Linked DNA regions of Callithrix jacchus. Each later gene encodes a partner of the first gene's protein in a complex. Links are inferred from orthologs where the notes say so. Each region holds a gene or a part of one and is shown in the gene's direction. Other genes may lie near its edges.

Region 1 (4,949 bases):
TCACCACACATCACATCCCACACTAAGCCAGGTCCATTTTGCCACTTCACTGTCTCTGGAATCTGTCCACTTCTCACCATTTCCTACTTCCAGCCCAACTGAGCCGTCCTTACCTCTCTTTCATGATAGCACCCAGGGACCCAGGAGTCCCTGAGAGGCCATCGAGTGTAGCCTGGACATGACCGCTCACTCCATTTTTCCCATTGGCCACTCAGAGCCCTGTTTTCCTCTTCTGTGAAACGGGATGCCTCTGAGAACAATGGGACAATTACCTGAGCCAGAAAGTGCCTGGCATGGTAAAAGTTAGCACTAGTGTTGCAATTGGCACTTTGGTGACACAGCCTCCAGCATGATGTTTCAAAACAGAAGCGAGTGCAGGGGGCTGGGCGCGGTAGCTCATGCTTGTAATCCCAGCACTTTGGGAGGCCTAGGCGAGTGGATTGCCTGAGGTCAGGAGTTCAAGATCAGCCTGATCAACATGTGAAACCCCATCTCTACTAAAAAGATAGACATTAGCCGGATGTGGTGACAGGTGCCTGTAATCCCAGCTACTCGGGAGGCTGAGGCGGGAGAATCGCTAGAGCCTGGGAGGTGGAGGTTGCAGTGAGCTGAGATTGCACCATTGCACTCTGGCCTGGACAACAAGAGTGAAACTTGGTCTCAAAAAAAAAATTAAAAGGGAGTGAGGGGGTATATTCTTCCAGAACTCTCTCATGGAACCCACACACACTCACCATGCAGTCCAGGCTCTCTCTGCCTGCCCTAGTACCTTCTGCCCTCATCACCTGCAAGCTCATGTGAGATTTCTGATATGAGTTCTTTCTGCCTCGTGACCCTTATCTGCCTGGAGTGGCCTCCTCCGACTCTGCAGGCTGGCTCCTTCTCCTGTCAGTCTTGCATTAGTGTGGCGTCCTCTCCCCATCTCTTGGGGCCCTTGTGTTTCTAGGGGGCTGCCCTGGTCATTTGTGATTGTGTATCTGCTGGTTTGCCTGCTGTCTTCCCAACCAGACTGCAGATTCCAGGCAGCATGGGAGTGTTTCCATTTTGTCACTACTTTGTACCTGGGGCCCAGCAGGCAAGCACTTAGTGATTATTTTTTGTTTTGTTGTTGCTGGTGTTTTGTTTCGTTTTTTGAGATGGAGTTTTGCTCTTGTTGCCCAGGCTGGAGTGCAATGGCAGAATCTAGCTCACAGCAACCTCTACCTCCTGGGTTCAAGTGATTTTCCTGCCTCAGCCTCCCGAGTAGCTGGGATTACAGGCATATGCCACCACGCCCAGCTCATTTTGTATTTTTAGTAGAGACAGGGTTTCTCCGGGTTGGTCAGGCTGGTCTCAAAATCCCGACCTCAGTCCCGCCTCGGCCTCCCAAAGTGCTGGGACTGTAGGCATGAGCCATCGGACCTGGCCAGTGATTATTTATTGGAGAAGTCAGTAATTTAAGTAGGTACTGGCTTGTGGGCAGTTCCGTGTCTTTGTTCTAGGTAGTGTCTCAGACTTGCTGCCTCCTCTTACCGCTGCTCCATTAACAGAAATCTCCCCCATGGTTACCTGGGTCACCCTGTTAGTCTCCCAGCCCCTGTTTGGAGCTGGCAAAGTGAAGAGGAGAAATAATAAGATTCCCACCCCCACCCCCACCCCCCGCCCACTGCTGTAAAGATATCTAGTGGGAGGCAAAACTGAAACTCATGAAGATGCACATGGAGTGTCTACGCACAGGCTTGCTCCTGCTCACTCTCTGGGAAGCCCCAGACAGCCGCCGCCTCCTTCTGTTTCCTGGACTCTGTTCTCCAGAGCCAAAGACTTCTCCGAGGTAGAAGGTGTGTCTACCCAGATCTGACTACTCCAGAGAAACCCAGAGAGGCTTGAAAGCCCTTTGTCCTTCACCAGGAGAAAGGGAGTGGTTAGAGCAGGTGGTATGGTTGGTGCCTGCTGGCAGGAAGTGGGAGAAGGGACATTGATGAAGGATACTGAATTCCAGGAGACAGGACAAAAAGCTAAGTACTGCCCGCCACTAGGGGTCTAAGGGTGCACAATTGGCACTATGGACTTGCAGCTGGGCAGGTCCTGGCAGGACGAAGTCTAGAGTAGGAGGTAGGCCAGGGCAGAAGGGCGGGTGGCTGGTTCAGAGCTTGGCCCTCCAGCCCTGCTGACACAGGTCAGGCCAGCCACTCTGGTGGGGCAGGGGGTGTTGCTTTTGCTCACACTCTTCCCATCTTAACACACCCTCCCTGCTATTTCTGGAACTCAGGCAGGCTCTTGACTCCAGTGCCCTTGCCTGGTTGCTTTACATTATCACACATTTTATCTTAGCCTCACTGTTTGCTTATCCTTTGCTGCCCTGGCTGCCAGTGAGCTTCCTCCTGAGGTCTGAGGCAACCACAGGCTCTACTCCATGGAGCATGAGGCCATGAGTTTCAGTAAGCTCCAGAAGCAAAGAGCTGAAGACTATCTTTTTTTTTTTTTCTTTCAATTTTTAAATTATACTGTTTTTCTCTTTCTTTTCTTTTTTATTGTTGCTTAGGCCAGTCTCCAACTCCTGGGCTCAAGCAATCCTCCCACCTCAGCCTCCCAGAATACTGGGATTACAGGCATGAGCCACTGTGCCTGACCTGAAGATTATCTTTTTATTTTTTTATTTCTTTTTGAGATAGAGTTTCACTCTGTTGCCCAGGCTGGAGTGCAGTGGCCCAATCTCAGCTCACTGAAGGCTCTACCTCCCAGGTTCAAGCAATTCTCATGCCTCACCCTCCCAAGTAGCTGGGATTACTGGCATGCACCATCATACCCAGATAATTTTTGTATTTTTAGTAGAGATGAGGTTTCACCATGTTGGCCAGGCTGGTCTCAAACTCCTGATCTCAAGTGATCTGCCTGCCTCGGCCTTCCAAAGTGCTGGAATTACAGGCGTGAGCCACCGCACCTGGCCTATCTTTTTATTTTATTTTTTAAATGGACTCTTGCTCTGTTGTCTAGGCTGGAGAGCAGTGCGTTGATTTCAGCTCACTTGCAACTTTCTCCTCCCAAGTTCAAGTGATTCTCCTGCCTCAGCCTCCTGGGTAGCTGGGAATACAGGCATGTACTACCACACACAGCTAATTTTTGTATTTTTTAATAAAGACAAGGTTTCACCATTGTTGGCCAGGCTGGTCTTGAACTCTCGATGTCAAGTAGTCCACCCACTGGGGCCTCCGAAAGTGTGAGGATTACAGGTGTGAGCTACCGCATACAGCCTGAAGACTACCTTTTTAAAAAAAACTCATTTCACTTAGATGTGTGGTGCCAATGCTAGGCATTTGTTTATCCTGACCTTTTTTCGCTTAGTGTTTTATATTTCATCTTGCAAATAAGAAGGCTTACAAAGCACCACCACTTCTCCCTCCCCTCTGGCTCTTTCCTGGCTGCTGTTCTTAGAAAAAAGGCAGAAAGCAGCCCTGGGCATGTCTCCCTACCCCAGCGTGCACAAACACACAGTCACAAACCTGGGAAAAAGGCTTTTCTATTTACCCTGATATAATCAGTTAAGTCAAGACTCATCTCTGCAGTAAGTGCAGTCCCACCAGGCGACAGATTCCTCGGCATGTCTCTCCTCCTTACCCACACCATCAGGAAGCATTTGCATGTGCTGAGACTGTGTTTGCTCAGGCCTGCGTATCATTTCCTTCCCCAACAGATGAGCTGTCCATGGGATTGGGCCGTCTGAAGGACATAGCCCTGGGGATCCAGACGGAAATTGAGGAGCAAGATGACATTCTTGACCGGCTGACAACCAAAGTGGACAAGTTAGATGTCAACATAAAAAGTACAGAAAGAAAAGTTCGACAACTCTGAAGACAGATGGATTTCCACTGTTGTGATGAAAAAGATTTGAAAGATCTTTTTTTGAACTTCCAAGAAATTTCATTTACTGTTTTAGTATGTAAATTAATGTGTGTTTGCAAATGTTAGAGTAGATCTTAAGACATTTTGCGGTTATAAGGAAGTGTTTGTTCCACATTTTCCTAGGGTTAACACCTCGACAATTTCTTCCAGCAAAATGCTTAGAGTTTCAGTCTGAGCACAATAGCCTGGCCCTGCATATCTTGGGTATTTGATTACCAGATGGGAATAAGAAGAGTTGCATTTCTCACTTTAATGAGCGTATGGAAAGATGCAGATGGAATTTCAGTCTTACAGCCACGAGCCTCTATTTCTTATTCCTAAGCCTTACTATGAGTCAGAGTGTTAAGGGGGCACGTGAGCCAGTCATTTGGTAGAGGAAGGTCCTTCCCACACCTTTGTTTAGGAGTCGTCATTCACACACATGTACACATACAGTCATACACACACACACACACTCTGTCCAAACACGTCTTATTCTTTCATCTCCTGGAAAGGATCAGTATTAGAATGGGAAATGGAGTGTGTTATGTTCTTTGCTCTCGTTGGCAGATGTCCCCACTTCCCTCCAGCCTCCAATCCTTGGCATGCGTGTTAGTAGAGACCAGTGCTACTCACTGTGACTCCTAGAAATGTGCAGGGAATTGGCTGAGCCCCTCTTCCCCATGTGCTCTCATCTGGAACTCTCCTGTGATTGGGAACAGGTCTTCCACTGGCTCGAGGCTGCCAGGCTGTGACCGGCAGGGGCACCCAAAAGAGTATGTGGGAATGGAGTGTCACACAGATGTGGCTGTGCAGTAGTCTTCCTCCACCCCTCTGAGAATCACCATTAGGCAGGCCTCAGTAGGACAAAATGTTTATTTAGTACCTGGGGTCTCCAGCACTCCCACCCACTCTTCTGCACTTTTTGCAAGGTAACTTGAATCATCACTTATTTCTCTGCCACCCAGTTTTAGGACTGGAACTCTACAAATGATGCTGACTTTGTATAGAAGGATTTGGCTAAGGGGGGAAAAGGCCCAGATACCATTTTAACTGGCCCAGTTCATTTTCTCCTATCGTTTTACAAAAGG
Region 2 (4,240 bases), on another chromosome or scaffold:
AATTTCTTTTTGGTGGGGCAAAATAAACACGAGGGCCAGAAGTTAGCCATTTCTGTTGCTTTTCACCAGGTTTGGGAGCTGATATGAGCAGTCTCTACTTCTGAATCTGCTCTGATCCACAGATTGTTAGGGATCCCAGGGAATGGATCCCATGACTGGGGCTTGAGGTGGCAGCTCGCCCATAGAGGCATGTTCTGAGACCAATAGCTCAGTCAGCCCCTGCATTCTTAGGATTCTCTCCTGGGAAACTGAATTTCCCTTTGAAGCCTGCCCAAGACAATCATTTGCATCTGACCTTCCCAGGGCAGAAATATTGGCTCTGAGGAAACTCCCCTATGGCCTCTAGCCTTCTCTAGGAGCTATTAGGCAAAGGGTGAGAAATTGCTGGCATCTTGGTAAGTTGGCTTTAAAAACAAGCTGGAAAGAGCAGTAAAATGCTTTGATCCCAGGGTCCCCTGCTAGATGAAGGCTAGAATAATATCTCCCACACATCTTGCTAGACCTCATTCCTCTCTCCAGCCAGGGGCTGAGGCCAGCTGTTTCAGGGAGGAAGTAACTCCAAAGTTGAGCAAAGCCTGGAGCCTCAGGTTCTGTGTTCGGGGAGAGGCCTGCTCTGGCTTTCTGAGTTCTGTGTGAACTCCTGGCCCTTGAGTACTGCTCCCTTGTCTCCCTGGGACTCAGTGCCTGTTTCTGCAGCTTAAACGTAGCTTAATTTGGAGAGCACAGCCTAGGGACTTTTTTTTTTTGAGACGGAGTCTTACTCTGTTGCTGAGGATAGAAGTGAGCTCAGAGGCACAATCTTGGGTGACTGCAACCTTCACCTCCTAGGTTCAAACGATTCTCATGCCTCAGCCTCCTGAGTAGCTGGGATTACAGGTGTGCATCACCACACCTGGCTAATTTTTTGTATTTTTGGTAGAGATGGGGTTTCGCCATGTTCGCAAGGCTGGTCTCAAACTCCTGACCTCAGATGATCTGCCCGCCTTGGCCTCCCAAAGTGCTGGGATTACAGACTTGAGCTACTATGCCCGGCCAAGCTCTAGGAAATTCAGTGTCTCTAACTCGAATTGCTGGGGATGGGAAAGAGTGGGTGGAAGAGGAGGAGTTCCCTTACTTCCAACCCTCTGTCCTGTCCTGGTCCCTCCTTCAGCCTCAGCAAGGAGTCTTGGAGCTGGGAGAGGTGCCCACCTGGAGCCTGCACTCCTCAGTCCCAGAGTCTGCCCTTCCAAGAGCAGACTGTGCTGCCAGTGTTGTACCTTTGGGTGTGAGCAGGTTTCAAGGACCCCTCAGTGTGCATGGCAGTGCAGGGGTAAGAAGAGAAAGGGAACCCCTAGTCGTATCTAGGTAGCGACCTCCCAGGATTTTAAGAATTCTAAATTTCAACCTGGCCTTCCAGATTTTTAGGAAGGTATATTTGTCAAGGTAGGTGGATAGAGCATCTTTTATTTAGTAGTTTGTTACCTCAGCTTACAGTGTCAGTATTATGATGTATGGCTTGAGCAGGGTATGGTGGCATGTGCCTGTAGTCCCAGCACTCAGGAGGCTGAGGAGGCAGGATTGCTTGAGCCCTAGAGATGGAGGCTGCAGTGAGCTGAGATTGTGCTACTGCACTCCAGCCTGGGTGATAGAGTGAGACCCTGTCTCAAAAAACAAACAAACAAACAAAGCTGGGCATGGTGGCTCATGCTTGTAATTCCAGCACTTTGGGAGGCCAAGGCAGGCGGATTGCCTGAGGTCAGGAGTTCAAGACCAGCCTGGCCAACTTGGTGAACCCCTATCTCTACTAAAAATATAAAACTTAGTTGGGCATGGTGGTGCACCCCTGTAATTCCAGCTACTTGGGAGGCTAAGGCAGGATAATTGCTTGAACCTGGAAGGCAGAGGTTGCAATGAGCTGAGATTGCACCACTGCAATCCAGCCTGGGAGGCAGAGTGAAACTGTCTCAAATAAACAAACAGACAGATGTCTAGCCTTGTAGGCCCAGTGTGGTGGCTCATGCCTGTAATTCTAGCACTTTGGGAGGCCCAGGTGGGCAGATTACTTGAGGTCAGGAGTTCGAGACCAGCCTAGCCAACATGGTGAAACCTCATCTGTATTAAAAATACAAAAGTTTGCTGGGTGTGGTGGTGGGTGCCTGTAATCCCAGCTACTCAGGAGGCTGAGTGAGGCAGGAGAATCACTTGAGCCTGGGTGGTGGAGGCTGCAGTGAGCCAAGATCTCGCCACTGTACTCCAGCCTGGGCAACAGAGTGAGACTCCATCTCAAAAAAAAAAAAAAAAGATGTATGGTCTGTGGGCTGCATTTGTATTCTTGCACTCTTGTTTCAGTGGGAGGAGCCACTGGGTCACTCACTCTGCCTTATCCTCAACAGTCTGAGCACTTCAAGACGACATCGCAGAAGGTGGCTCGGAAGTTCTGGTGGAAGAACGTGAAGATGATTGTCCTTATCTGCGTGATTGTTTTCATTATCATCCTCTTCATTGTGCTCTTTGCCACTGGTGCTTTCTCCTAAGTAACAGGGAACCTCTCCCACCTGCCCTTCTCTTCAGGGACAACCCTCCATAAATGAGTGCCAAGAGAGGTCTCCTTTCCTGTCCTCCTCTACAGAGAATGCTGCTCAGTCCTCCTGCCCCTCTTCCCACGGTCCTGCTGCCATGTTGTATGCCCCAGAGGGCACCTTGGTCCCCTGGAAGGAGAGGGAAAAAGAGAGCTGGACTGTGGCTGCATTTCACAGGTCCTTAGAGTGGGTTGGAGAGACCTAGAGGGCCTAGCATGTGGCTGGGAAACTATCAGTGGCCAGTGGGCAATAAAGACCTTTCAGTATCCCTATGTGTGTGAGGAGGCACTTTTTCCCTTCCCATTTTGCCTTTGGCTTTTCTATTTCTTTTCTTCCCGAGGATACCTTCTGGGTGAGGTTCTCCCATTTGAGGTCCAAGTTGTTGGAGGGGCAAAGAGTATATGTTTGGAGAAGAAAGATGGAGCCCCCATGTCTTTCTTTATTCCTCCCTGTTCCATTTATTGTCACAGGTCTCAAAAACAAGAATTTTCTGGGAGTCTTGGCATAAAGAAAATTCAAAACCTTCATAGCATTTTGGGGTGGTAGATGAGATTTTTAAGTGTTCCCGTTGGGTCCTGCCATGACCCTTTAGTACTGTTCTTCTGGAGTTGTTAGCTAAGGCATGAAGCCTACCTGGACAGAGCATTTACAAGCTGGTTGAGGGCCTCCTGCCTCTTCTATCACAGCCATCTCTCTTCAGCAACCCTGTAGTCTAGAGTCAAGGGCTGGAGGAACTGGACTGCTATTCCTTTCCTTGTGCTTCTGCGTGTTCTAGCTGTCTTTTCTCTGTCCCTGTCTTCTGGGACTTAGCAAAGCCTCTGGGTCTCAGCTGTTCTGAGGGGGTGAGCGTCTCTCCTCAGCATCCCATGGTTGGGCACAGTCAGTCAGTCAGTGTCACAGGACAGGGCCAATGGTCCTCTTTCCCATCCGTGCACAATGAGCCTTTCTGTCTCAGACGCCCCTCCTCCCTACCAGGTTCCATCATCACTGTCACTCTTTCCAGTGCCCAGTCTGCCTTGGTTTGCAGGGAGGGTTCTTGCCATATCTGTTCCTGTTTCCTCCACAGGCTTCCAGAATTGGAAACAACCTGTTGTTGGGAGGAAGGGAAAGGGTTGGGATTTAGGATTTGGGACTAGATTAGCAAGTCAGGCTCTGCAAGAATCATGCTCTGTAATTTGGGGAGGGAGGAGGAAAGGTCAGAAAAGACCCTTGTGGTATTTTTATTTTTATTTTTTTGGAGATAGGATCCCATTCTGTTGCCCAGGCTAGAGCACAGTGGTATGATCACGGGTCACTGGGCTTAAGAGATCTTCCTGCTTCAGTCTCCCTTGTAGCTGGGACCACAAGTGTGTGCTACCATGCTTGCTAATTTTTAAAATTTTTGTAGAGACATGGTCTCACTATGTTGCCCAGGCTGGTCTTAAACTCCTAGGCTCAAGTAATCCTACCACCTTGGCCTTCCAAAATGTGGGTATTATAAGTGTGGGCCACTGTGCCCCACCTTGGGGTAATCTCTGCTACAACTATATTAATCCTCTCTCTCCTGGATTCAAGATGCAAGGAACTGAAATGAAGCTTCTGCTTTGGGACCCAGACTGTCCAGGGTAGGAGTGAGGGTCTGTGAAACCCTCTTGGTCTGGGACTTCTGTATTCACAGAAGCTCAGCCCCAGAGAGGGAAATT

Evidence for each region. The genes of interacting proteins can lie anywhere in the genome.
Region 2: the proteins of SNAP29 (region 1) and VAMP8 are in contact, whole or in part, in a crystal structure (PDB 4WY4), measured with the Homo sapiens proteins. The link is inferred for Callithrix jacchus from reciprocal best matches to the Homo sapiens genes SNAP29 and VAMP8. Residues at the interface, in NP_004773.1 of Homo sapiens: Leu206, Leu209, Ser210, Leu213, Leu216, Lys217, Ala220, Leu221, Met223, Gln224, Ile227, Glu228, Gln230, Asp231, Leu234, Leu237, Thr238, Val241, Asp242, Leu244, Asp245, Ile248, Lys249, Thr251, Glu252, Val255, Arg256, Leu258; in NP_003752.2 of Homo sapiens: Leu16, Glu19, Val20, Val23, Ile26, Met27, Gln29, Asn30, Arg33, Ile34, Arg37, Asn40, Leu41, Leu44, Lys47, Thr48, Asp50, Leu51, Thr54, Ser55, His57, Phe58, Thr61, Ser62, Val65, Lys68, Phe69.

Annotation. Positions count from the first base shown.
Region 1 is NC_133502.1:193,238,714-193,243,662, reverse strand, and holds part of SNAP29 (synaptosomal-associated protein 29), read left to right. Parts: intron 1-3,670; coding exon 3,671-3,828; 3' UTR 3,829-4,949. UniProt on the Homo sapiens protein: SNAREs, soluble N-ethylmaleimide-sensitive factor-attachment protein receptors, are essential proteins for fusion of cellular membranes.
Region 2 is NC_133515.1:27,442,950-27,447,189, reverse strand, and holds the end of VAMP8 (vesicle-associated membrane protein 8), read left to right. Parts: intron 1-2,372; coding exon 2,373-2,513; 3' UTR 2,514-2,830; downstream 2,831-4,240. UniProt on the Homo sapiens protein: SNAREs, soluble N-ethylmaleimide-sensitive factor-attachment protein receptors, are essential proteins for fusion of cellular membranes.